Linked DNA regions of Macaca mulatta. The protein of the gene in region 2 interacts with the protein of the main gene of each other region in a biochemical or structural test. Links are inferred from orthologs where the notes say so. Each region holds a gene or a part of one and is shown on either strand. Other genes may lie near its edges. The genes, in order: ABCC4, SNTA1, GDA, SLC6A3, FRMPD4, KCNA4 and SCN4A.

The links.
Region 1: the proteins of SNTA1 (region 2) and ABCC4 form a complex in vitro, tested with the Homo sapiens proteins (2 studies listed by BioGRID and IntAct, with this or other methods). The link is inferred for Macaca mulatta from reciprocal best matches to the Homo sapiens genes SNTA1 and ABCC4.
Region 3: the proteins of SNTA1 (region 2) and GDA interact in a test that uses a peptide from one of them, tested with the Homo sapiens proteins (2 studies listed by BioGRID and IntAct). The link is inferred for Macaca mulatta from reciprocal best matches to the Homo sapiens genes SNTA1 and GDA.
Region 4: the proteins of SNTA1 (region 2) and SLC6A3 interact in a test that uses a peptide from one of them, tested with the Homo sapiens proteins (2 studies listed by BioGRID and IntAct). The link is inferred for Macaca mulatta from reciprocal best matches to the Homo sapiens genes SNTA1 and SLC6A3.
Region 5: the proteins of SNTA1 (region 2) and FRMPD4 interact in a test that uses a peptide from one of them, tested with the Homo sapiens proteins (2 studies listed by IntAct, with this or other methods). The link is inferred for Macaca mulatta from reciprocal best matches to the Homo sapiens genes SNTA1 and FRMPD4.
Region 6: the proteins of SNTA1 (region 2) and KCNA4 interact in a test that uses a peptide from one of them, tested with the Homo sapiens proteins (2 studies listed by BioGRID and IntAct). The link is inferred for Macaca mulatta from reciprocal best matches to the Homo sapiens genes SNTA1 and KCNA4.
Region 7: the proteins of SNTA1 (region 2) and SCN4A interact in a test that uses a peptide from one of them, tested with the Homo sapiens proteins (2 studies listed by BioGRID and IntAct). The link is inferred for Macaca mulatta from reciprocal best matches to the Homo sapiens genes SNTA1 and SCN4A.

What each region holds. Positions count from the first base shown.
Region 1 is NC_133422.1:89,940,992-89,944,491, reverse strand, and holds part of ABCC4 (ATP-binding cassette sub-family C member 4), read left to right. Parts: intron 1-278; coding exon 279-528; intron 529-3,500. UniProt on the Homo sapiens protein: ATP-dependent transporter of the ATP-binding cassette (ABC) family that actively extrudes physiological compounds and xenobiotics from cells.
Region 2 is NC_133415.1:86,166,954-86,169,425, reverse strand, and holds part of SNTA1 (alpha-1-syntrophin), read left to right. Parts: coding exon 1-103; intron 104-2,046; coding exon of another isoform or gene 2,047-2,067; coding exon 2,068-2,264; coding exon of another isoform or gene 2,265-2,296; intron 2,297-2,472. UniProt on the Homo sapiens protein: Adapter protein that binds to and probably organizes the subcellular localization of a variety of membrane proteins. May link various receptors to the actin cytoskeleton and the extracellular matrix via the dystrophin glycoprotein complex.
Region 3 is NC_133420.1:103,212,770-103,216,269, forward strand, and holds part of GDA (guanine deaminase), read left to right. Parts: intron 1-115; coding exon 116-287; intron 288-3,500. UniProt on the Homo sapiens protein: Catalyzes the hydrolytic deamination of guanine, producing xanthine and ammonia.
Region 4 is NC_133411.1:2,557,005-2,561,099, reverse strand, and holds the start of SLC6A3 (sodium-dependent dopamine transporter), read left to right. Parts: upstream 1-1,295; 5' UTR 1,296-1,441; intron 1,442-3,537; 5' UTR 3,538-3,582; coding exon 3,583-3,868; intron 3,869-4,095. UniProt on the Homo sapiens protein: Mediates sodium- and chloride-dependent transport of dopamine. Also mediates sodium- and chloride-dependent transport of norepinephrine (also known as noradrenaline). Regulator of light-dependent retinal hyaloid vessel regression, downstream of OPN5 signaling.
Region 5 is NC_133426.1:11,758,791-11,762,867, reverse strand, and holds the start of FRMPD4 (FERM and PDZ domain-containing protein 4), read right to left. Parts: upstream 2,801-4,077; 5' UTR 2,298-2,800; coding exon 2,257-2,297; intron 1-2,256. UniProt on the Homo sapiens protein: Positive regulator of dendritic spine morphogenesis and density. Required for the maintenance of excitatory synaptic transmission. Binds phosphatidylinositol 4,5-bisphosphate.
Region 6 is NC_133419.1:35,236,975-35,239,461, forward strand, and holds part of KCNA4 (potassium voltage-gated channel subfamily A member 4), read left to right. Parts: intron 1-558; 5' UTR 559-1,340; coding exon 1,341-2,487. UniProt on the Homo sapiens protein: Voltage-gated potassium channel that mediates transmembrane potassium transport in excitable membranes. Forms tetrameric potassium-selective channels through which potassium ions pass in accordance with their electrochemical gradient.
Region 7 is NC_133421.1:73,858,637-73,862,136, forward strand, and holds part of SCN4A (sodium channel protein type 4 subunit alpha), read right to left. Parts: intron 3,002-3,500; coding exon 2,525-3,001; intron 612-2,524; coding exon 476-611; intron 1-475. UniProt on the Homo sapiens protein: Pore-forming subunit of Nav1.4, a voltage-gated sodium (Nav) channel that directly mediates the depolarizing phase of action potentials in excitable membranes.

The DNA.
Region 1 (3,500 bases), on a different chromosome or scaffold from region 2:
CATCTCAAAAAAAAAAAAAAAATGTTTTTCTGGCTTTGGATTAAATATTTGATTAGTTGTTGCATTCCAGCACCTGGTACTTCTTATGATTTTCTGGGTAGTTCCTGGCCACCTCTCACCTTTGCACCTTTTTGTTGTTGTCATTGCCCAGGATGGTCTCAAACTCTTGGGTTCAAACAATTCATCCACCTCAGCTCCCAACATGCTGGGATTGCAGGCGTGAGCCACTTTGTGTGACTGACATCACTGCTTTTTTAAAAACCTGTACTCTCTTCTAGGAAGGAGATTTCCAAGATTCTGAGAAGTTCCTACCTCAGAGGGATGAATTTGGCCTCATTTTTCAGTGCAAGCAAAATCATCGTGTTTGTGACTTTCACCACCTACGTGCTCCTCGGCAACGTGATCACAGCCAGCCGCGTATTCGTGGCCGTGACACTGTATGGGGCTGTGCGGCTGACGGTCACCCTCTTCTTCCCCGCAGCCATTGAGAAGGTGTCAGAGGCAATCATCAGCATCCGAAGAATCCAGGTTGGTGTCAGATGCCATTTTAAAGTTGTAGGTGCATTCGAGGTGAAATGATATCTCCTTTTATTTAGCATCACTATGTTCCAGTGTAATGACATTTAACTCTTTCATAACCAAAACGTGCTGCCATTCCACAATGTTGTGTGTACTTCCTTATCTTAGATAGAGCGCACTAAAGACAATGCAAGCATTGTGATCATTTATTGGCAGCAACCTAAACAGCAGTGGCACAGGGCTTTTGATGTGCAGGTGGTAACGGCAGGTGTGATTAAAATGTTTAAGCTGTCTAAAAGGAGGAAAAGCAAATAGATTTCATCTGTTACGTTAACGCAAGTGAGAAAGTAGCGAGTATGGGTTGAGTATGGTTCTTCTGTGGGCTGGAAGGAAAGAGCTTGCTGAGGTCCCTGCTTCTTGGTCAGGAAGAATGGCCTCAACTTCACTTAGCTATCCCTGTTTGAAAATAAGTTCTTTCCTCTGTAGATGTTTTCCTTGTTAATTTTTGTGCATGCCTTTAGGATCTCTGCCGTTTCTTTCCTATCCTCTTTTCACTTTTTTCTTACTGTTGATGAACCTAACTCTACCAGACTTCTTTCTTTCCAATCGGTTGATTTCTGCTTACTGCCTTGCTCCGTTTGTACTATTGTAACAAAATACCTGAGACTTGCTAATTTATACATGTTAGACATTTATTTCTCACGGTTCCGGAGGCTGGGAAGTCCAAGATTAAGGCTCTGGCATTGGTGTCTGGTCTGGTGAGGACCATTCTCTGCTTCCCAGATGGACCTCTGTGTCCTCACATTGTGGAAGAAACAGAAGGACAAACTGGTTTAGTTCCCTCCAGCCTTCTGTAAGGACACTAATCCCCATCAGGAGGGCTCTGCCGTGGCGACCTAATCACCTCTTAGAGGCCCCACCTCTTAACACTGACCCTGGGGTGAAGTTCCAGCCCATGAATTTAGAGTAGGCATGCCCATTCAAATCATAGCATCCACTTTACACACCATCACCTTTTCCTCAGTAGCTGTCACTAAATTGCCAGGGGCAAATAATTTATATCACCAAGGTAAGGTCCTGTCACATAATGTATGCACAAGTATTTGTGTGTTTATGAATAAGTTGAAAATTAAAATAAATTGGCTTTGTGAGAGGGCTTGGCAAGACCTTGACTGTCTAAGCTTTTCAAAAATCTGCTTTGTTTTATTCCTGGTTCTTAATAGAGATGGATGCCCAGGGCCAGACTCGAGTGAACTTAGCTGACACTGGCTGTGATTATTTTTTATTTTTATTTTTTTGGTTGGGGAGAGAGTGGGGTGGGTATTATCATAAAAGCTAAGATTCTTTTTTATGATGAAGTTTGTTTTTTAAAGAAGAGATCTTGCTGTGTTACCTAGGCTGGAGCATAGTGGCTATTCATAGGCAGACTCCCACTACTGATTAGCAAGTTTGTATTTCGTAAAAAATATTACCTCTAAAACAGACCATACAAGGTCAATTCTTATCCTCATTCTTTCTGACAACAGCTTCAGGTAACACTGTGAAGGGATGGTCCATGCAGGTCAGTAACACTTTTTTCTTACAGCTTTTGCATCTTGAAAGAAATAACTTAGAAATATACTTTGACCAGAGTGTCTTTCTGAGTGTGCAGGACACCTTTTACAGATGGAAGGGCCACATGTGTATTGTGCTGCTGTAATTCTCTGACTGCTGTTGCTGCCCCTCACTGTGATTGCAGGCGCTGGTGTGTGTACTGTAAACCAGGGCTCTTGGAAGCCTTTACATGTTATTTCATGTTATCCTCACAATTGAAGGAGATAAGCATTAGTGTCCCCACTTTACAGAGAATGAAACTGGCTCCTTTAATAGGTTAAGGAGTTTGCCTGTCTTAGAGATGGGAATCTGTTCAGAACCATGATTTCTTAACCATTATTACGTTGCCTGTTGTATTAGTCTGTTTTTATATTGCTATAAAGAACTTCCTGAGACTGGGCAATTTGTAAAGGAAAGAGTTTTAATTGACTCACAGTTCAGCATAGGTGGTGAGACCTCAGGAAACTTACAGTCATGGTGGAAGGGGAAGTAGGCACTTTCTTCACAGGGCGGCAGGAAGGAGAAGTGCAAGCAGGGGAAATGCCAGAGCTTATAAAACCATCAGATCTCATGGGAACTCACTGTCACTAGAACAGCATGGAGGAACTGCCCCCATGATCCAGTTACCTCCACCTGGTCCCACCCTTGACACGTGAGGATTATGGGGATTACAGTTCAAGCTGAGATTTGGGTGGGGACACAGAGCCAAACTGTATCACCTATGTTGCTGCCTTAGTATCCTCTGGTGTGGGATATTTCCTTCAGTGTTCTTTTACTCATCCAGTCTTACTCCAAAAACCTTGAAAGGTTCTCTGTTTCCTGTGGAGTCCTATTTTTGAACCCTAGGTGTAGAGCTTACCTGGCCACATTGTGTGTTTCCCAGCACATGACTCATGTCTGTTTCTGCTTTGGGGTCTTTGGCTCTTTGTGGCTTGAGTGTCCTCCCTTCTGTCCTTGATTTAAGCAAGTGCTACTAAGCCCTCCGGCCAGGTCTCAGGAGCCTGGTGGTACTTTTGTTCCTGCTGAGCAAGGCCAGTATGGTGCAGCTCAGAGATGATGAACACATAATGGGCACCAAATGCTGGATGGACAGAAGCAGCACCCACAGCAAAAGGCTGGGACCCAATACAGACCCAAGGTGGTCCAGGCTGTACCATAAGCCAGAGGAAGGCTGAGTGAGGAAGCAGACTCGAGTTGAACATTCCCAGAACACCGGGCCCTGTTCAAGGGTGTTGTGAGGGTCCTCAGCTCTGGGGAGCTGGATCTTTTTCAGAGTGGACTGGATCGGAGTCTCCGCCTTGTTATGTGTGTGCCTCTGTGCATCTCAAACCCCACTGGACTTGGTCGACCTGCTCTTGTAAGAGAGGGGCCATGTCTGACATTAAATG
Region 2 (2,472 bases):
TGGCCCTGCTGACTGAAAAGGAACTGCTCCTCTACTCTTCTCTCCCTGAGACCCGCGAGGCCCTGAGCCGGCCAGTCCGTACTGCCCCACTCATCGCCACCAGGTACCCATGGGCAGGGGCAGTATGTCTCCCCCAGAACTTGCCGGGAGATGCTCCAGCAGGGCCCCAGAAGCTGGAAACTCCAGCCCTGTCCACCCTCAGCTATTCCCCAGGTGACCTGAAGCAAGTCTCTGCCCTGTCTGGGCCTCAGTTTCCTTATCTGTAAAATGGGTGCTTGGAACAAAAGGACATAAGGTCCCCGCTAGCCACTCATTCATTGACACTTATGCCTTATGCTGCATGGGTCAGAGGGCACAGAGCTGACCCCAACAGTCGCTGCCTCCAGAGAGAACCTTGTCTGATTGGGGAGACAGACCCAGGAACAGCCATTACAGTGCAGAGTTTGTAGGAGCCACTTAACTCTGTAGGGGTAGTTGAGGAACGCTTCAGGGAGGAGGTGACATCTGAGCTGGACTTTGATGGATGAGTAGAAGTTTTCTGTTTAAGAAAGGGTGAAAGAGCATCCCATGCAGAGAGAACATCATGGTCAAAGGTACAGAGGCATGAAGGGCTATAGCGTGTTCATGGGGCTATGAGTTTGTGACAACCAGAATTCATGCAGGAAATGGAGAGAAGGGAGTTGGCAGGGCCTGATCTTGCAGAGCTTCTTTTGTCTGATTAAGGAATGTTAGCTTTATCTTAAGAGTTTGGCAGTGTTGAAGGGTTTAAGCTGGGGAGCGAGGTGCTCTGGTTGCTTTAAGAGAATCCCTGTGGCTGCCACGTGGAAAATGCAGCGGAGAGTGCAGGATGGAAGTGGGGAAGCGCTGCAGTCGTGCAGGAGAGATGATGGTGGCTGGGGGAGGTGGAAGTGGGCGGCAGGAGCAGATGGAGAAGAAAGGCAGCATTGGCATTGGAAACCACATGGGTGTAAAATTAACAGGGCTCCGTGCTTGCCAGATGGGGCGGGTGAAGGAGGGGTCTGGAATGAACAGGAGGTTTGGAGCTGGTGTCTGGGTGAGCGTGGGACTGGGGGTGGGGGTGGAAAGGGAGGAGGCTGGAGCAAGATGCTGAGTCAAGTCCAGAGTGTGTGTGGGATGGAGAGGGAGCTTGGATAGGAAGCTTGGGGACTCAGGGGTCTGCAGCTCAGGGCTGGAAAGTGGAAGGCTGGCGTCAGCAGAAGTCTGGGGGGGAAGTGAGCTATAGGAGAAAGAGTGGGTGAAGGGAGGAACAAAGAGGGATATGGGGCAGAACTCTTAGGTCTGCCCCAGAGAGGGGCAGTTGGCTTACCAAGGCCACACAGCAAGTGACAGTCAAGCTGCAGGGGTCTGAAGTCCTTGTCACCCATGTCTCCTTACCTCAGGCTGGCTCTGGCCCATGTATCAGGAGCCTGCTGGCTACTAGGGATAATTAGGTCCTGGATTGTCTACCTAATCAAGTGATTCAAGTCAGGCAACAAATGTTTATTGAGCCTCTACTGTGGTCAGGCATAGTTTTACTTAATGGGAATACAGTGGTGAACGCAAGATCAACATTTCTAACCTAGCTGACATCCTAGTGAAAAAGACAGTGAAAAACCAACAAAAACAAATAATAAAAAGTATAATTTCTGGTACCATGATGAAAAAGTAAGGCTAGTGAGTGACAAGGGTGCTATTTTGGACTGGCAGGCCAGGGAAAGCTTCTCAGAGGAGGTGACATTTAAACTAACATCTGAAGGAAGTGAGGGAGTGAGCCATGGAGATAATCAGGGAAGCGTGTATAGGCAGAGGGAACAGCATACGCAGAGGTGCTGAGGCAGGCGTGTGCTAGGTGTGTGTGAGGACACCAGTGTAGCCGGAGCCAAGGGAGCGACAGGGAGGGTGGCAGGAGATGTCTCCTGCTGAGTCAATCAGTGCCCCCTGGCAAGTCCTGTCCTGTTAGGTGGTAAAGGATTTACAGGGTTTTTCCCAGGTCATTGGCCCCTTTGCCCAGAACTATTTGCCCCCTGCCCGAGGCCTCATGCTCAGCCCTCTGCCCCTCACCCCCAGACTGGTGCACTCAGGCCCCTCCAAGGGCTCAGTGCCCTACGATGCAGAGCTCTCTTTTGCCCTGCGCACGGGCACGCGTCACGGTGTGGACACTCACCTGTTCAGCGTGGAGTCACCGCAGGAGCTGGCTGCCTGGACCCGCCAGCTGGTGGATGGCTGTCACCGGGCCGCCGAGGGTGTGCAGGAGGTGTCTACAGGTGTGCTGGGAGGATCTGGGAGTGTCCCTCTGGTAATGAGCCTCTTATCCCCAGGGGCATTCAAGCTTCCTTCTTTAGGGCACTTCAGGAGGGGACAGAAAATGGGGTTTGGAGGTTAAGGTGGGTGGATCACCTGAGGTCAGAAGTTTGAGACCAGCCTGGCCAACATGGCAAAACCCCATCTCTACTAATAATACAAAAATTGGCT
Region 3 (3,500 bases), on a different chromosome or scaffold from region 2:
ATAAACCTGCGTGGGGTGAACAGTGAAATCATGCTTAGGAAAAAATGTGATTTAAAAAATACGGAAAATGAAGATAGATATTATTAAACACTTTTCTTCTCATCTTAATTTCCAGTGAGTTCTTCATGCCTGGGCTGGTTGATACACACATCCATGCCTCTCAGTATTCCTTTTCTGGAAGTAACGTAGACCTGTCACTCTTGGAGTGGCTGACCAAGTACACATTTCCTGCAGAACACAGATTCCAGAACATTGACTTTGCGGAAGAAGTATATACCAGAGTTGTCGTAAGTATCTTGTGTGTGAGTATGATATTCTGTTTGGTCATCTATAGGAGTATCAGTTTCCTAGGACAGATATAAATTATAAAGCATAGGCAGTTAAGCCTAAGATGGGCCACAGAGAATTTTTAAGTTTTTTTTTTAACAGTCCAGTGAGTTTGTGACCACTTTACCTACATAGCTAGTCAGTGGAAAAGAGAGAATTTGAATCCAAGTTTCCAAAACCCCAATCTGGTGGGTTTACGTTACTCTTTTACTTCCTGTGTTTTACTTTACCAAATTTGGGTTTACTGAATATGTGTGGTTCCCTACTCCTGCCAATCCATAATGCTGTTCTGAGGACCATATGGATTTGTTATGTGACCTTTGCAGAGTTATGTGACTCACTTTTCCCATCTGTAAAAAATAGAGATCATGATAGTACCTATTTCACAGGATTCTCGTGATAATTAAGCAAGTTAATATTTGTAAAATTCTTAGAATAGTGTCTGGCACATGGTAAGAGCTCTATTTGTTTGCTTTAAAAATAGCCAAGGAAATTTAAAATTAAAAATTTAAATTACTGTTAGAAGGGATATTGTGTTACTCTGGGAGCTTTGCAAGGAGGCACTTGGTAATGTGACTTGAGCACTGACACCACTAGAGGGAACTCTGGGGCTAGTACAGTCATTGAACAGTGGCAGTAGTGTGTGCCAGCCATATGTTGAAGGCTCTGAAAGTGTCCTTCCTTCTCCTCTTTCAGGAAAATCAGTTCCTTTCTTTGTACTCCAATCCTATGCCCAGAACCAGAATCCACTCAGGAATCAGGAACAGTTTCTGCAGTAAAGGAGCGAAAGCGGAAATGCCGCCTTATCTGACCGTTATGTCTTGGGTGTTCAGCGCACTTGGTCTGAACACTCATGGATTTTTGTCGGACCCATTGATTCCTCCTAAGGTGTTCACTACATGTGGTGGTGGCAGTATTATAAGCCTTCCACATCTACTGACCTAACCATCTTGCCAGTTTTTTTGGTCTTGCATCATTCCAGCCTTAAAGAGTAAAAGCAAGTGCTAACTTTTTTTTTTTGTTAAGACAGAGTCTCACTCTGTCACCCAGGCTGGAATGCAGTGGTATGATCTCGGCTCACTGCAACCTCTGCCGCCCAGGTTCAAGCAATCTCCTGCCTCAGTCTCCCAAGTAGCTGAGATTACAGGCACCTGCCACCATGCCCGGCTAATTTTTGTATTTTTAGTAGAGACAGGGTTTCACCATATAGGTCAGGCTGGTCTTGAACTCTTGACCTCAAGATCCACCGGCCTCGGCCTCCCAAATTGTTGGGATTACAGGCTTGAGCTGCCGCGCCTGGCCAAGCAAGTGCTAGCATTTATATACTTGCCTCACATAATTATAAATTCAGTGCAATTGTGGATCTTACACATTTAGCATGCACCACATGACACTAGAAAAGCTGAGAAGGACTAAAGCTGTGTATAAAGTAGCTGGCGCATTGTGTTAATGAATGGTGTTAACCACACCAAATCTTTATTCTCAAAATTTATTTATACCTCACATTGTTCTAAAAGAATGTGAGATAGCTGAAAATTACGTAATATACAACAAAAGAAAATGAGTCATGTAATAAAGGAGAAGAAAACAAGGGGGAGGGAAAAGTAAAATAAAACCAAGTAATCATTGTCTACTGTGGGGGTCCATGCATTTGTTAGTTTGTCATGAATTTGGCTTTACATTTCTAGAACCTGACCCAAAGAGGGAAATCAGTTACGAAATTTACTCTGCTTTTATGATTAAAAAACACATTTGTTAAGGTAAAGCATATCTATGCTTCATACTGAAACTCAAGAAAATTAATCTCAGTATTCCTTAGTATGGATAGACACTATGCTGTCAAAATATATATCGTAAAGATGCTATACTACCAAAAAGTCCAGATAGATCATTCTTTCATGTTTAGAGAGATAGAGTATCAAGGACTATATATTTTTCGGGCAATACTCCATATAAATTATTTCTGACATCAGAGATTTGTTCAAGTATTTGATGTCAGGCCAAGTGTGGTGGTGGTTTAAGTATTTGATGTCAGGCCTGTAATCCTGGCACTTTGGGACACCAAGGTGGGCGGATCACCTGAGGTCAGGAGTTCAAGACCAGCCTGGCCAACATGGTGAAACCCCGTCTCTACTAAAAATTCAAAAATTAGCTGGGCATGGTGGCATGCACCTGTAAGCTCAGCTACTCAGGAGGCTGAGGCATGAGAATCGCTTGAACTCAGGAGGAGGAGGTTGCAATGAGCCAAGATCAGGCCACTGCACTCCAGCCTGGGTGACAGAGCAAGACTCTGTCTCCAAAAAAAAAAAAAAAAAAAAAAAAAAAAAAATTGGAGAGCACATCTCCTATGTTTCTTATGTGTCTGAGAATGAATGAATGTGGGCCCACAAACTTTTAAGTTGGAGGCACTGAGGGTATGACTGACATCTGTTTAAGGGTGTTGAGATGTGTTAACTAGCCACATAGCCTACTCAATGGGCTGAGTTCAGTGGGAATAAACAGGAGTAGCTTTGGGTTTCCTTCCTCCCTTCCTTCTTCCCTTTCTCAGGGGTCTCCCTGTCCGGTCCCTTTACTGTAATTAGGGCAGTTCCTGAACTTTCTAGTGTTTTCAGTTCATTCTAGTTGTTGAAAGAAAAACTTCACACAAATTAAATTTAACAGAGTAAATTCAGCAAAGAACGATTCCAGAATCAGGCAGCTCTCAGAACCAGGAAAGGTTCAGAGAACTCTGCCCAGCAATGTGGGCAGGCAGCATTTAAGACAGAAAATGGAAGTGAGGTACAGCACCAGCTTGATTGTTACAGCTCTGGGTTTGCCTTATTCAAACTTGTTCTGATCACTTGGCACCTGTGACTGGCTAGAGCTCAGCTGCTGTGACTGGCTGAGACTCAGCTATTTGTTACAAAAGCATATTACTAATTAGGCTTTCAGTGAGTTGATATACTAAGTAGTTGAGAAGCGTGCTCAGGCCACATTTAGTTTACTTTAACACAGTCCAATCTGAAGCTGCAATTTCTCATTCATTAAAAGCTTCTCCCCACATAAGCCACATACTTCCTGGTTTAGGCCCGACACTGAGGAAGGGGCTTACTGTCAGTGTTTGTGTAGTGCTTCTAAATAGCCCCTGCTTTCCATTTTGATTTCATCTTTAAGATTGTAGAAAAGTGCTTAAA
Region 4 (4,095 bases), on a different chromosome or scaffold from region 2:
GGGAGATACAGGGAGAGAACTGTCTGCAACCCAGAAGCGGCCCTGTCGGCCAGGACTTGGCCTTGGCCTTGGCCTGGGGACACCAGAACTGTTAGAACTAAAGGCTTCTGTGTGAGCCCCCAGGCTGTGGAGTGTTTGTCATAGCAGCCCCAGGGGATCACCAGGTTCCCACTTGATTCCAACTCAGCATGGAGGCACAACCCTGAGTGCCTTCTGCCTGAGTGCCAGCCCCGGGGTGAGGGGTGCCGGGAGTGCGGGGCACTGCGCTGCCGGCGGGTACTGCGGGGTCAGGCACCAAGGGGCCCTGCCTCCCTCACGGCTGAGCGCGGGCTGCAGGCTGGAATGGCTGGAGAGCCCCAGGGCTCGCCTGGACGCCCAGGGCAGGGTGCTCACGGGAGCACGGAGGGTACACGGGGAGGAACGCCGGGGTTTGGGTGACCCTAGGGGCGACACGCAGAGCTGGATGCGGCCACTCACCTCCGTGCCTTCTAAGGAACTGGACATCCTGGGCCTTGGCGGCCCGGGGGCTTCATTCCTCTGCGAGCTGAATGGAAGAAATCCCGCCCGGACATCTCGGAGGGAAAGCCTCGGAGTCCATTCGGCCCTGGAGCCAGATACCAATCGCCAGTGCTTTCAGGCCAGTCCTGGGAAATGGTTTTCTCATGCGACCGCGAGGCGAGCCCCTCGGTTCCGATGTAGGCGCACTAGATGCCGGCAAGGGGAGGACTAGGCTCGGCCGGTCGCCTCGAGGTCGTGGAGACCCCAAAGCCACGGAAGGACCCGCGTCTCCGCAGCCCGCACGCCGGGAAGCGTGGGGAGTCCTCAGCGGGGTCCCGAGCCCGCTGGTCAGGGCGTGGAGAGGCGGGTTGGGAGGGACGTGGTCCCTGGAGCGCGGGGCCACCGCAGGGGCCCCGGACGGGGAGGGAGGGAAGGGTCGGTCCAACGGGGTCCCAGCAGTTCCCCTCGCGCCGCCGCTCGGCTCCCTCCCCGTCCAGCTAGGAGCCTCCAGCCCTGGGCGTCCGAAGATATCGGGTGCCCAGGGCAGCCCCGAGGGGTGCGAGCGAGGGCGCAGGGCGGCCCAGACAGTTCTCGCGCGGAAGGCGCCCGTCTAGATCCGCGACGCCTAGGACCCACAGGTCCCCGCATCCCGTGTCCGAGGCTCCGGGACGCGCAGGACAGCGGAGCGGTGGCCGCCGCTTGCTCCAAGCTATCTGCGTCCAGGGGGCGGGGGCGGGGGCGCGGCCCGGGGAGGTGAGGAGGCGGAGCCAGGACGCCCGGGCGACCCCGACGGCGGGAGGGCGGAGCGGGGCGGACCCTGGCGACTGGATAAGAGCCCGAGGCCGAGGCCGAGACCGCCCAGCGCGGCGGAGCAGGAGGGGAGGCTTCGTGAACCGCGCTCGGCACCAGGACTCGCGTGCAAAGCCCAGGCCCGGGCGGCCAGGTGAGGCCAGGGTCGCTCCCGGCATCGGGGCGCGCCGCTCCCTCCACAGACCCCGAAGTGGGGCGCAGGGGCAGGGCACGGGGGCCGGGCACACTCTGGGGCCCCCGCGTCCCGCAGACCGCGCCGTCTCCAAAGTCGCCAACAGTCGCAGGTGCCGAGCGCCCCCTGATAGCGCCGCAAGGGACCCTGAGGCCGTCCGAGGCGCGAGGAGGGTGCAGGGCTGCCCCCTGGCCCGCCCCAGGCTCAGGATCGCGTGGGCACCTGGTACCGTCACCAGCTTAGGGGACGCATGGGTATCTATGGCTGTGACTCGGGGGTCCTGGTTTCTTCTCGTGGAACTTAACCCTACTAGGGGTGCGGCGCACCCCAGATCCTATCGAAGTGGGTTTTCTACACCGCCGCTCCGTCTCGCGGGGGCTTTGATTTGGGGGTAGTGGCGGGCGCCGGCTGCGCGCTGGCTGGTGCTCTGGGCAGGGCGGGGAGGCAGGGCGAGGGCTCACCAGGCAGGGCCGCTTCTTGTTCTGGGCGCGGCGAGGAAGGGCGCTTTCTAATGGGCCACGTTTGGCTGTGTAGACCCAAAACTCGCCTCTGAGGCCCCGCGTTCAGGAGCGGGGTCAGATGGCCCCAGGGCGGCGGCGGCTTCCCGGAGACTCTCGAGCTCCGCACCTGGCGCCCTCTCCCAACGCGGCCTCCTGCTCGCGCCGCGGAACCCCTTCGGCGGGCGTTTTACCCATAGGACGGGTCGTGAGGGTTGGGGTTGTCACCGGGAGGTACAGAAGCCGCCCAGCAACGGTGCGTGGCGTAGCTCGTGATAGCTCGTGGGTGAGGTTTTGTGCAAACTTGGATGCAGGGAAAGTTGCCTGTTAGAGCCTCTACCTGTGACCTGCTTCAGTCATTGTGTGTGCGCGCCTGTGTGTGTGTGTGTGTGTTTGTGAGTCTGTGTGTATCTGTGTGTCTGTGTGCGCGCGCGCGCGACTGAAACATGCTGCTGTTGGATCCAAATGCCAGAAGTCGCCCTGGTTGGGGAGGTGTAGACGCTCCTGCTCTCCTGCGCTGCGTTGCAGGGGGTTTATGGGGTTTTGGACAGGATTTCCTGGGTTGCCCTGCTGGCCCAGGAGGTGGTTCCCGCGATGAAGCCCTGTCCATCCTCTGCCCAGCTCTCTCAGGTGGGGTGGTGCCACCTGCCCTAGGTGGATGTGGCTTGTACACTCTTTGAGGAAACGATTGTGATGGTTATGTCTAAACTCTCCTTTACAGTGGCTGATTTTGCTTATATAAATTTTGCTCTTTATTACTGAGTATAAACAATACACGGCCAGGCTTGGTGGCTCATGCCTGTCATCTCAGCACTTTGGGAGCCTGAGGCAGGAGGATCGCTTGAGACCAGGAGTTCAAAACCAGCCTTGGCAACAATAGTCAGACCCTGACTCTACAAAAAAAAAAAACAAAAAACAAACAAACAAAACACACACACACACACACACACACACAAATAACTTAGCCAGTGCTGTGGTGCACACCTGTAGTCCCAGCTACTCAAGAGGCTGGAGTGCAAGGAGCACTTGAACCCAGGAGTTTGAGGTTGCAGTGAGTTGTAAGCACACAACTGTATTCCATCCTGGGCGACAGAGCGAGACCTCATCTTAAAAAAAAAGAAAGAAAAAGAAAAAAGAATACAGATGAACAGGCACAAAGACATTATTGAATGCTCTTTGAAGATTGCAAAATTGCTCTCTGGCAGTGTGGGGGAAGGTGGAGGTAATATCCATGCACTGTTATTAGAAAGCCAAGCTAGAGCTCACATAGCATTCCACATTGATAAGAGTGAGGAGGGGTGCAGGGGAAGGAGGGGCACACCAGAGTGTCTGTCTTGATGCCTCCATGGGCCAGTGCCCCAGCCCTGTGGTGAGGGCTGGCACTTCCCAGCTCCTGCACCCCAGCTGTGCCATCTCAGGCCCTGGGAATGCACCCATCCCTTCCCAGAGGAATGCCTATGAATGCCTCGGGGCTCTGCCCTCCATACCAGGCGCGTCCCTAGCCCTGGCTGCTGAATTGTTGCATTCCTGTTGTGTGTTTATTTTTCATATTGGCTGAAGACCAAGAGGAAAGAAGCACAGAATTCCTCAATTCCCGGTGTGCCCATGAGTAAGAGCAAATGCTCTGTGGGACTCATGTCTTCCGTGGTGGCCCCGGCTAAGGAACCCAACGCCATGGGCCCAAAGGAGGTGGAGCTCATCCTTGTCAAGGAGCAGAACGGAGTGCAGCTCACCAGCTCCACCCTCACCAACCCACGGCAGAGCCCCGTGGAGGCCCAGGATCGGGAGACCTGGGGCAAGAAGATCGACTTTCTCCTGTCCGTCATTGGCTTTGCTGTGGACCTGGCCAACGTCTGGCGGTTCCCCTACCTGTGCTACAAAAACGGCGGGGGTAAGTCCCATGTCAGCCTTTCTGAGCACAATGGCCAGGCGGGGGTCATGGGGGCAGCTGGGGCTAGGCCTTTTAGGAAAGGCGTGCACCCGAACAAGATAAAGCTGTTCCCATGCATGAGGATAGAGCTCCCTGTGAGAGCTCACGGCCAGTGCAGATCTTCCCAGAGGACGTCACAAAACCACAGAGCAGGGCTCAGAGCTGCCTGGTCCCATGCCTGCATTTCA
Region 5 (4,077 bases), on a different chromosome or scaffold from region 2:
GCCTCTAAACCAAGAGAATTTTAAGCACTCAAGTAACCATGCTGATCAAAGCTAAATCCTTTAGGAAGATTATCCATTCTGAAATCAGGAAAATCCTGCAGTATAAGCACTTTTATACTTCACCTTTGAGAAAAGAACTTGATTTCTGTAACAGTGTTTAAAACGCATACAAGACTTTCTTCCTCCCAAGGCAGAAACAAGCAACTGCAAACATGTGTTTTTACGTGCTGATGACCCTCTAAAGGTATTTCTATCTCAGCTTGGGGACCATCCTTGAGCTCACACTAAGGAAAAAGAAGAATTATATGGATGGAAGATTTCTTAATCGGCACATCAGCTCAGAACATTTGCACCTTCTGTCTTTAGAATAAACACTCTACTGGATCACATTAAGGATAGAAAGTGAAACTCACATTCATTTACTAAATTTTAAACTCTTTTAAATAAGATACCACTCTCCCCACAACCTTGCTTGAGTTTTGCAAAAACTCAGATTTGTGAATATCATGTAGGCATCCTAGAATTTAGTAAAAAGAATATGAAACATCTTTTCACTGACACATGACACTGTGCTCTCCGAAGTTCCTAAGTTTAAGGACTAAACCAAGGCTCTAGATGTTTTGTTAAACTGTTTTTAGCATCTGAGGCCACAAAAAAGTATCCTGGTTACTTTGAACTATACTATTGGTTGAACTTCCCTTTCCCTTTAGCAGTAGCTCTGTCCATCACACAGAGGGTTCCACTCAGTCTCTAAACTTGCCCACAGCTGCTTCCCAACCATGGTTCATTATTTGACAGCTGTTTAGAAACTAGCCCTAGGCAGAAGCATGCAGGAAGTTAATAGAATAGTGGTGTGAAGCAATGGCCCTCTATGAGATCAGCTTGAAAGCAAATAATTTGCCACACCACAATCATCCACTGCTTAACACATCAGTCTTCCAATCTGTAGGACAACACCTCTTCCTGAGCTGCTCTAAGACCTATCAACGGTGTATCTCCAGTCTACTTAGAGTAAGTTGCACTGGGCCTTTCTCCCTGGGGAAATCTGCTAGTGGCATGAAGACCGGCCCATATTAGTAGAAAGGGAAGGTGGAGATGGGCAGGCAGAACAAAGACTGTAGATGTCAGAGAGAATGGCAACATCCAAACATAACCTTTCTGAAGTGGTCTAAATGTAATTTAACAAAGCAAAGTCAACATACGTTTCTACCTCGGACGATTGGAAGCTGCTCATCCCTGCCTGATGCAATCAACACATCTCACTCTGACACTCAGGACTGAAGGAAAACCTGGGATTGTTCTGTCCATATTGCAAGTAAGTTTTTAAGCTACATCCTGGAAAAACCCAACTGTCTACCTCCTACGTCCTGGTGGTAGCTGCTATAAAGAGCTCCAGGGGCAGAGAAGGTTGGGCATGGTTTTCTAAGACTGCTCCTATCGGGCTCTTCCCAGTTAATGTCACATAGCAAGAAGCACAGACCTTACTCTGTGGCTCAAATGAACACTTTGGAAGCATAAGCAGGCAGAAGACCTCGAGGAGTGCTCTGGCCAGGCAACACCTAGGCGGCCCAAGCGTGGAAATGTTCCTCCTTTATCAGTACTACGCAAAAATATCCGAATCGATGATTTAGTTTTAGCTACTGTTTTAACAACATGGCCACTTAGAAGAAAATTTCTAAATCTTTCGAGGCTTAAGAATATAGTCACACACACACACAAAGAAAAAGGCTGAAAGTCTTTCTCTTCTATCTCCATGACCTCATCATTTAGGTTACCATTGGGAGCACCTGGTCAACCTAGGCGCTAACTCTGTGGAGGTGTGGAGGTGTAATTTAGGAGTGGGGGGAAGGCGGCACTTTTGGTCTCTGCAGCTTGGAAGGCAGGCACCTAAGCTCCAAGCACTTCTGGGTTTCCCTAGCAGTAGCAATTACAACCACCTTCTCTTAGCCCTGAATGATACATGGGACCCCAAGCACCAGTGGGGCTTTTCCTTAGGGAAAACAAATGGTTGTGAATATCGGTGTGTTGGTGAGGGCATGTATGTACCTCTCTGTGTGTGGTCTACACCCGTGGCTACACAAGCCTCAGCAGCCAGTGAGAAATAAGTTGAATGTGTCAGCCCCCGGCCACTTCGTTTCAGTCTTAAGCCCCGTCGCGCTTTCCGGCTTTTGCCTCTACCCAGCCTCCCGAAAAATAAGGCACCAAGTTGCCCGCAGCAGCGGCCCTAGGTGCAAACGGAACCCGCGCAGCCCCTACCTCGAAAGCTTTGCAATCTTCACAAAGCTGAAGACATCCATGCAGGCAGCTGGGGACCCCCGAGCGCGACAACTCCGTCGCCCCTTCTCACGCCAGCAACAACAGCAGCCTCCGCAGCCCCATGGCCAAGACCTCAGTGCGCCCAGGGCTCCAGTCGCGGCGACAGCGGGTGGCGGCGGGGGCCGGAGAGAACCTGCACCTGGAGGCGGCGGCTGCTACCACCCTCCGGCCGCGAGCTGCGTGTGCATCCCCGAGCAGGACCATTGATGAGCACCCGCGGCAGGAAAACTCAATGGAGAGGGAGCCAGGCAGGGCGCAAGAGGCGGGGGCTGGGAGCGCGGCCCGGGTCTCGCGCCCCGCCCCGTGCGCTCTGGCCCCGGGTACTGCCGGGCGTCTAGAGAAAGCGAGGCCCGGGCGAGAGGCGCTGCTCTGGCTTCCCGGCCCTCGGACCCCAGTGCCCCGCGCACCAAGGAGCGCAGACGGAGCCGGGAAACGGGAGACAGCAGGCGAGCTGGGCACACGCGCACGCACCCCTCGCAGCACTGCAGCTGCCTCCCTGCCTCCTTCTCCAAGCCGAGTCCCTGCTCCTCTCCCCACCCCCACCAGCCCAGGGGGAGGGGGCACTCTCCTGTCACCCACTGCGTGTGCCTCCAGATCTGAAGGATCTGGTCTAACAGTCTATGGCACACTGGAGAACTGTGAACGCTAACCCTCCCTCCCCAAGCCGAAGGAGAACCGTGCAACCGCAGGTTGCCCAAAGCCTCGGTTTGCTCCGTAAACAAAACTAGCGATCGGAAGGAGCAGGGATGATAGAGGCTGGGTCGTTTGTCAAGGGGAAGGGAAGGGAGATGCCCGGCGCAGCGGGCTCGATTGGGGGAGCGCAGAGTTCCCACTGCTTCTCCCGAACCGCTGGGGCGAGACGTGACCACTGGGCTGGCTGGGAAGGTGTGTCTTTGGACAGCAGCACCGCGGGAGTGTCGGCCAAATAAGAACCGGAGGCATTTGCGGGTAGGGGGATGAACACAGCTGCTCCCTCCTCCAGGAGCATAGAGCAGAAGGTCCCAGGAGCCTGTGATGCAGAGGCTAATTCTAACCGGGCTCGGAATCTAAGGGAAGAGAAGGATTAGAATGGGGTCTGGCACGCAGAGCGAGCTGCTTTTGCAAACTGAGCGGTGGGAGAAGGGAACAAGGAAGAAAAAAAAAAAACAAAACAAAACCTAACAAAACCTTGCCTGAGAAGCAAAAACACAGAAACATAAACACTCACCTTAGGCAGAGTAAACTCCAAGTTGCAGCCATCTAGAACTCCTCCTAGCCTTCTCTTTTACATGATTACCTTGGATAATCAGCCCTGTTCATTAACTCAGTTCTACCTCCTGGGAAGCTCAGGCTTCATTGGGCCCCTTTTTCTTCTTCCTCTTGGAGTCTCAAGGCCTCTTGTCCACAATCCTTTAAAATTTCCCCCCAGACTGTGAAGGTCAGCTGGCCGCACTAAGTGTGTGCTCTCCCACCAGCAGCGTTCACCTGGCGGCAGGGCCACTGCAAAGAACAGAGAGCACCCCCAGAAATGTTGGAAGATCCAGCCAGTGTTCCAGTCTAGCTCTCCGAGGGGATTAAGTAAGAAATGGGTTTAAAGTTCCCACACTTCTGCTCCTCTCCTGGTCTGTTGTTATATTTAAAGTCTTCAGTATTCAAGCCTAGTACTAACGCGTTTTTTTTTAAGCATTTATTTCAAAAACTGAACATAAAATAAATAGCAATCTGCAAAATCTAACTGACTTAAAACTCAGGCATAAAATTATATTTTTTTGAATACATACT
Region 6 (2,487 bases), on a different chromosome or scaffold from region 2:
AGGTGACTGAAGTGCATTCAAGTGGTGCTGCCTGCATAAAGAATAAGAATACTGTTGTTGTTGTTTTTTTCTTTTTTCCGACTTCCCCAATCCTGAGTCAAGATAGAGAGGAGTGGAAGGGCACTTAATTCAGAAACACTTTATGAGTGGAAATTTTAAAAATTGCCTTGAAATAGATGAATGATGGAAGCAGCTGTAAAGTCACAGCATTATTTTTGTGAAATGAAGAGAGTGACAGTGAGAATTAAGACCTGGCATTGGTGAAGGGGAAGATAGAAGCAAGAGCCATGTGAGCCATGAGTGGAGAGAGGAAAAATAATTGAGTTACCATAAAAATAAACTGAGCTGAAATAATATCTGAAGAAGAAGGAAAGAATGATGTTTAGTGAGTGAGAATAGTGTGCCCCATACTCTTGAAAATGTATGGGTGTTTGGTGTGTTATGTGACTTTCTTGAAGAAAGAGAAGGATGTGTATATGAAGAGAAATGCTCACTTTGCTCTTTATGATTTGTTTCCCTTTTACTTTTCTCCTATGCTTGTTTCCAATCCTTTTTCAGGTGAAGTGCTGCTTCTGCATGATTTTGGCTGAAGAATGCTCTGCATTTCCTTGATTTCTATGGAGACCTCAGAGCTGGTTTTGCTTCTGCTGACACCTCATCTAGCACCTTCTCTACCTCCCAGGGTCTTTGCCTCTATCTATGGTTTGGCATCGTACCTGGGTCCAGGAAGCCTTTGATGAACTTAAAAGGAGAGCCTGCAGAATCGTCCTGATAGACTTTGAGTAGAAATGGCTGGACATACTTCAAACCACATCTTATTATGGTTCGAGCCATCACTAGAAGGCAAGTGCTAACAGTAAAGGCTTATTTGCATTTTATTTAAATTTAATGGACTGAGCATTGGCCAATTTCCATGGCAGAAAAATGTATTTCATTTTCTAGGCACAACTTCTGGCTGTCAGACACTTGCTGCCTTTGAATCTTGCAGCATCATCACTAACCACATCCCAGACATATTTCCAAATCTCAACATCTACCCCCAAAACATAGGTGTCTGAGACACTCCAGCATTTTCAGACTTCTTAGTCTTGAGAGTGCTAGGCTATTTATCTCGACCAGCCAAGCTCTGGAGAGCAATGTTGAATCCCTGAGAAGAGGGAGCATGGGGCGTGCTGATTTAAAAACAGAAAATGCAAAGTTGGACTGAAAATATCCTTAGTCTTCCAAGCAATCTGCTTAAGGGTTCCAAACTTACCTTAATTTGGTGAGAAAAGAAGCTGCCCTATTTTTCTTTCTTCTTCTTCTACAACTGGAACCAGCCATTTCCGAAAACCACCACCATGGAGGTTGCAATGGTGAGTGCGGAGAGCTCAGGGTGCAACAGTCACATGCCTTATGGTTATGCTGCCCAGGCCAGGGCCCGGGAGCGGGAGAGGCTTGCTCACTCCAGGGCAGCTGCAGCAGCTGCTGTTGCAGCGGCCACAGCTGCTGTTGAAGGTAGCGGGGGTTCTGGTGGCTCCCACCACCACCACCAGTCACGTGGGGCCTGCACCTCCCATGACCCTCAGAGCAGCCGGGGTAGCCGGAGGAGGAGGCGACAGCGGCTTGAGAAGAAGAAAGCCCACCAACGGCAGAGCAGCTTCTCTCATTGCTCTGACCTGATGCCCAGTGGTTCTGAGGAGAAGATCCTGAGGGAGCTGAGTGAGGAGGAGGAAGACGAGGAGGAGGAGGAGGAGGAAGAAGAGGAGGGAAGGTTTTACTATAGTGAAGATGACCACGGGGATGAGTGTTCCTACACGGACCTGCTGCCTCAGGATGAGGGCGGTGGTGGCTACAGTTCAGTCCGCTACAGTGACTGTTGTGAACGGGTGGTGATAAATGTGTCAGGCCTACGCTTTGAGACCCAGATGAAAACTCTGGCCCAGTTTCCAGAGACTTTGTTGGGAGACCCTGAAAAGAGGACTCAGTACTTTGACCCTTTGCGCAATGAGTATTTTTTTGATAGGAACCGCCCCAGCTTTGATGCCATCTTATATTATTACCAATCAGGAGGCCGCCTGAAGAGGCCAGTCAATGTCCCCTTTGATATCTTCACTGAGGAGGTGAAGTTCTATCAATTGGGGGAGGAGGCCCTGTTGAAGTTTCGGGAGGACGAGGGCTTTGTGAGAGAGGAGGAGGACAGGGCCCTCCCTGAGAATGAATTTAAAAAGCAGATTTGGCTCCTCTTTGAATATCCAGAGAGCTCCAGTCCTGCAAGGGGCATAGCCATTGTATCTGTCCTGGTCATCTTAATCTCCATTGTCATCTTTTGCCTGGAAACCTTGCCTGAGTTTAGGGACGACCGGGATCTCGTCATGGCACTGAGTGCTGGTGGGCACGGTGGGTTGTTGAATGACACTTCAGCACCCCACCCAGAGAACTCAGGGCACACAATATTCAATGACCCCTTCTTCATCGTGGAAACAGTCTGTATTGTATGGTTTTCCT
Region 7 (3,500 bases), on a different chromosome or scaffold from region 2:
TCTGGCTGACATGGGGGGCTCAGGGCCTCCCTCCACAGCCGGATCCAGCATGTGACAACGGCTTGCAGAGGAAAGGCCTCCTGGCCCCCAGCCCTGGTGCTGGTGCTCTCAGCTGCCCCACTCCCCACCTCGCCCAGGCAGTCTCCACCCTGCACAGCCCAGCAAGCTCTATGGACAACGACATTTCTCCAGTGCCATGTCCTGAAGGCCTTGCTCCCTGAAGATGGAGGGGAGGATCTCAGGAGCTGACACCCGCACTCTTGCACGTTCGCTCCAAGCTAGGTCTGCACCAAGGGCTCTGCATGGATCTTGCACCACAGCTCTGGGCATGTACTGCCACCACCCCTAGACGCGTGAGGCACGGGGATGACCAGGCAGCCCCAGGTTCGTGTGCTTTTGGCCCTGGTGTAGCCTGCCCCTTGCAAGGGCTACAGGCCTGGGGGAGACACCCAGACGAGGTGGGGGGTGCCCTCACCCTCAGTGAAGCACTCCTCAGGCTGCTCCCCCTCGGGGTTCTCCTCTGCCTGCTCCTCAGGGTCCTCCTCGGGGGGCTTGTAGTCAGCTGTGCTGCAGACGGAGGAGTTCCCATCATAGAGGGGCTGCGGCGGCTTCTGCAGAGGTCACAGGGTCATGTGACATCTGGGTCCCTGAGAGACCCCCTCATTCTCCCACCAGATGGGGCAGGATGGAAGACAAGAAGGGAAGGGAAGAAGAGAGGGAGGAGCAAACTTATTCATTCATTCATTCATCCAGCCCTGGATGGTCGAGGACCCATGGGGACATAGGTGGCCCTGGTCATGCCCGCATGGCACTTACATAAGGAGTGGGGCGGGGCTGATGCCTGGAAAGGAATGGTGAGGGCATGAGGACGCATGTGCAGGACTCAGATGAGGGAGGAGGCGGGGACCCTGGCCCGAGTGGGGGGTCTGGGAGGCGTGGGGGGCCTGAAGGTAGCTCTGAGGGGGCAGGGGTATGAAAAGGGGTCAGGATGGAGCCAGGCTGCCACAGCCCTCAGAGCATGGGCGTGTGGTGCCCCTAGCGTCTGAGCTTTCCCACCCCCAGGGTCTGTTTGGCTGAGGAATCCAGAAAGGGTGGAAAATGTTCCCCAGCCAAAGCCTCCATCCCATGCCAAGGGAACCTGATCAGTGTTGGGAGCGGGAGTGGGGGAGGCGGGTGCTTCAGCCGGGCCAGGCCTCCTCCCACCTCCTCCTGCTGGGCCAGGCCAGCTTCCCTGCCCCAGCCTCCACCCTGCAGGGGACCCCTTCAAGGCTGAGGGTGGGGCTTCTGAAGAGAAGGAAGAAGAGGGCAACTTGGGGGGCAGCTCTGTATCCAGAGTGGTGACCAGAAAACCGCCATGGTGGTGGCGGGGGGGTCCTTGTTTTCAGTTGACAAAAAGGGAGACTGAGGCACAGAGTGTTAGGTCAGCCAGGGCATCCACTGAGTTGCTTGCCCCGAATGTGCACCCAACTCCCTAAATCCCCCTTGGAGCTGTGCTCGCCCTCCTTGAACAAGTCCCCAGGCCCTGGCCCTGGGGAGCCTGGGACTTTGGTGCTCTCCAGCTCCCCTGCCACCTGAGTGCCTCATACCGAGGTCTGTGCCACAGTTGCCTAGGTATTTATAGCTCATAGGCACTCGGCCCCTGGTAAGCCAGCGTGCCACATATTTGGGGGGAATAAGGAGTCAAAAACTTTCCGGGCAAAGTTCATTAGGCTCAGGCTGATGGTGTAGGGGTGGGCAGGGGTGCCCGTCCTAGCGCCTATACAAGTCCTTTCCCTGCCAGAGCTGGACAGTGGGGGAGGGGGCTCAAGACCCAGGTAGGGTCCCATCCTCAGCCCCAGCTGCTGGGGGTGACCACCACTACGTTCCTTTCCCTTCCTCGCCCTCACAGTGTGGGGGGTGGGGAGGGGCATCTGAGAACAGCAGCATGCCCCCGGCATGGTTGAGGGGTCAGGGTTCCTGCCCGAGGCTTCTGCCCTCCTTGTCCCCAACTCTCGTTGGCCCCGGCTCCTCTCCTGAGTCCCCTGCCTGGATCTGGCACTTTGGCCCACACTGGGAAGTTGGGAGCAGACCCAGGTGGGGTCTAAACAGAAATAGAGGGTAAGTGTGAGGACTGGGCAAGGGGCCTCAAGCCCAGAGGATAACATGTAAGACAGGCCTCTCAGGTCCTGGTCCTGGTCCTGGAGCTGCAGTGCCCAGGTAAGAGCAGCATGTCCAAGGGCACCACCTGCTGGTGAGAGGGACCCAGGTGTTGTTCTGGTCCAGGCATGAACCGAGAGAATCAGGGTTTCCGGACAGACAGGGCTGATCATCAAACCACACCAATAACCATAGTGACAGCCGCCACTCACAGGGCACTGACTGCATGCTTTACATACAGCGTCTCACGTAATGCTCACAACAATGCCATAGGTCACCACCCCCATTTTACAGCTGGAGAAACGGAGGCTCAGAGAGGACTTAGGACTTGCTCCAGGTCACAGGAGAATTTGAAGCTGGGTCTGTCTGAGCCCCGGCCCTGGCTCACCTTGCTATCCTCAGGCTCCGAGAAAGTGTCTGTTTCCTCCTCGGTGGGCATCTCCAGGTCGGACTCCTCAGAGGCGATGGGCACCTGTATGGTCAGGTAGGGGTTGTTGATGAAGTTAAGGTGGTCCAGCTCGATGCTGGATGGTGGGTCATCAGCCAGGCTCATGTGGTTCAGGATGTGACTGTCCTTCTTCAGGTCCTCCTCGGGCGGCTCCTTCTTCTCATCCACAGGGGCAGTCTCCCCGGCCTCTCCAGCCTCCCCGGCCCCGACAGGCTCCCCGAGGCTGAGCATGATGTCCTTGGGGCTCAGGATCTTGCCATGCAGCAGCCCCAGGAGGAAGGCCTTGGCAAAGCTGATGCCCAACTTGATGCGCCCGATGGCAATCTGCAGGTTGTTCATCTCACCGTCCTCATCCGAGGCTGCCAGACTGTCGGCGCTGAAGGAGCTCAGCAGCAGAGCCAGGAACAGGTTCAGGACCTGGGGCATAGAGTCAAGGGGAGCCTCACATCAGTCCCCGGGACCCAGAGGGTGCCACCTTCAGCCAGCACAGGGGTCCTCGGTCTACAGATCCAAACGACCACATGTTGGGCATTTAAAATGCCACCTAAGAGGTGCTCACAACTGCCCGTGGAGGTGATGCTTATTATCATCCCTTCTGCAGTTGGGGAAACTGAGTCTTGGGCTTCTGAGAGGAGTCTGCTGCCCAGGGCAGAGGCAGGGTTTAGGGAGGCCTGCAGGGGCACAGGGACTCTCTCCATGACTGTTCTTTTTTTTTTTTTTTTTTTTTTTGAGATGGAGGAGTCTCCCTCTGTTGCCTCCAGACTCCAGGCTGGAGTGCTGTGGCGTTACCTCGGCTCACTGCAACCTCCGCCTCCCAAGTTCAAGTGCCACCATGCCTGGCTAATCTTTGTATTTTTTGTAGAGATGGGGTTTCAACATGTTACCCAGGCTGGTCTCAAATTCCTGACCTCAGGGG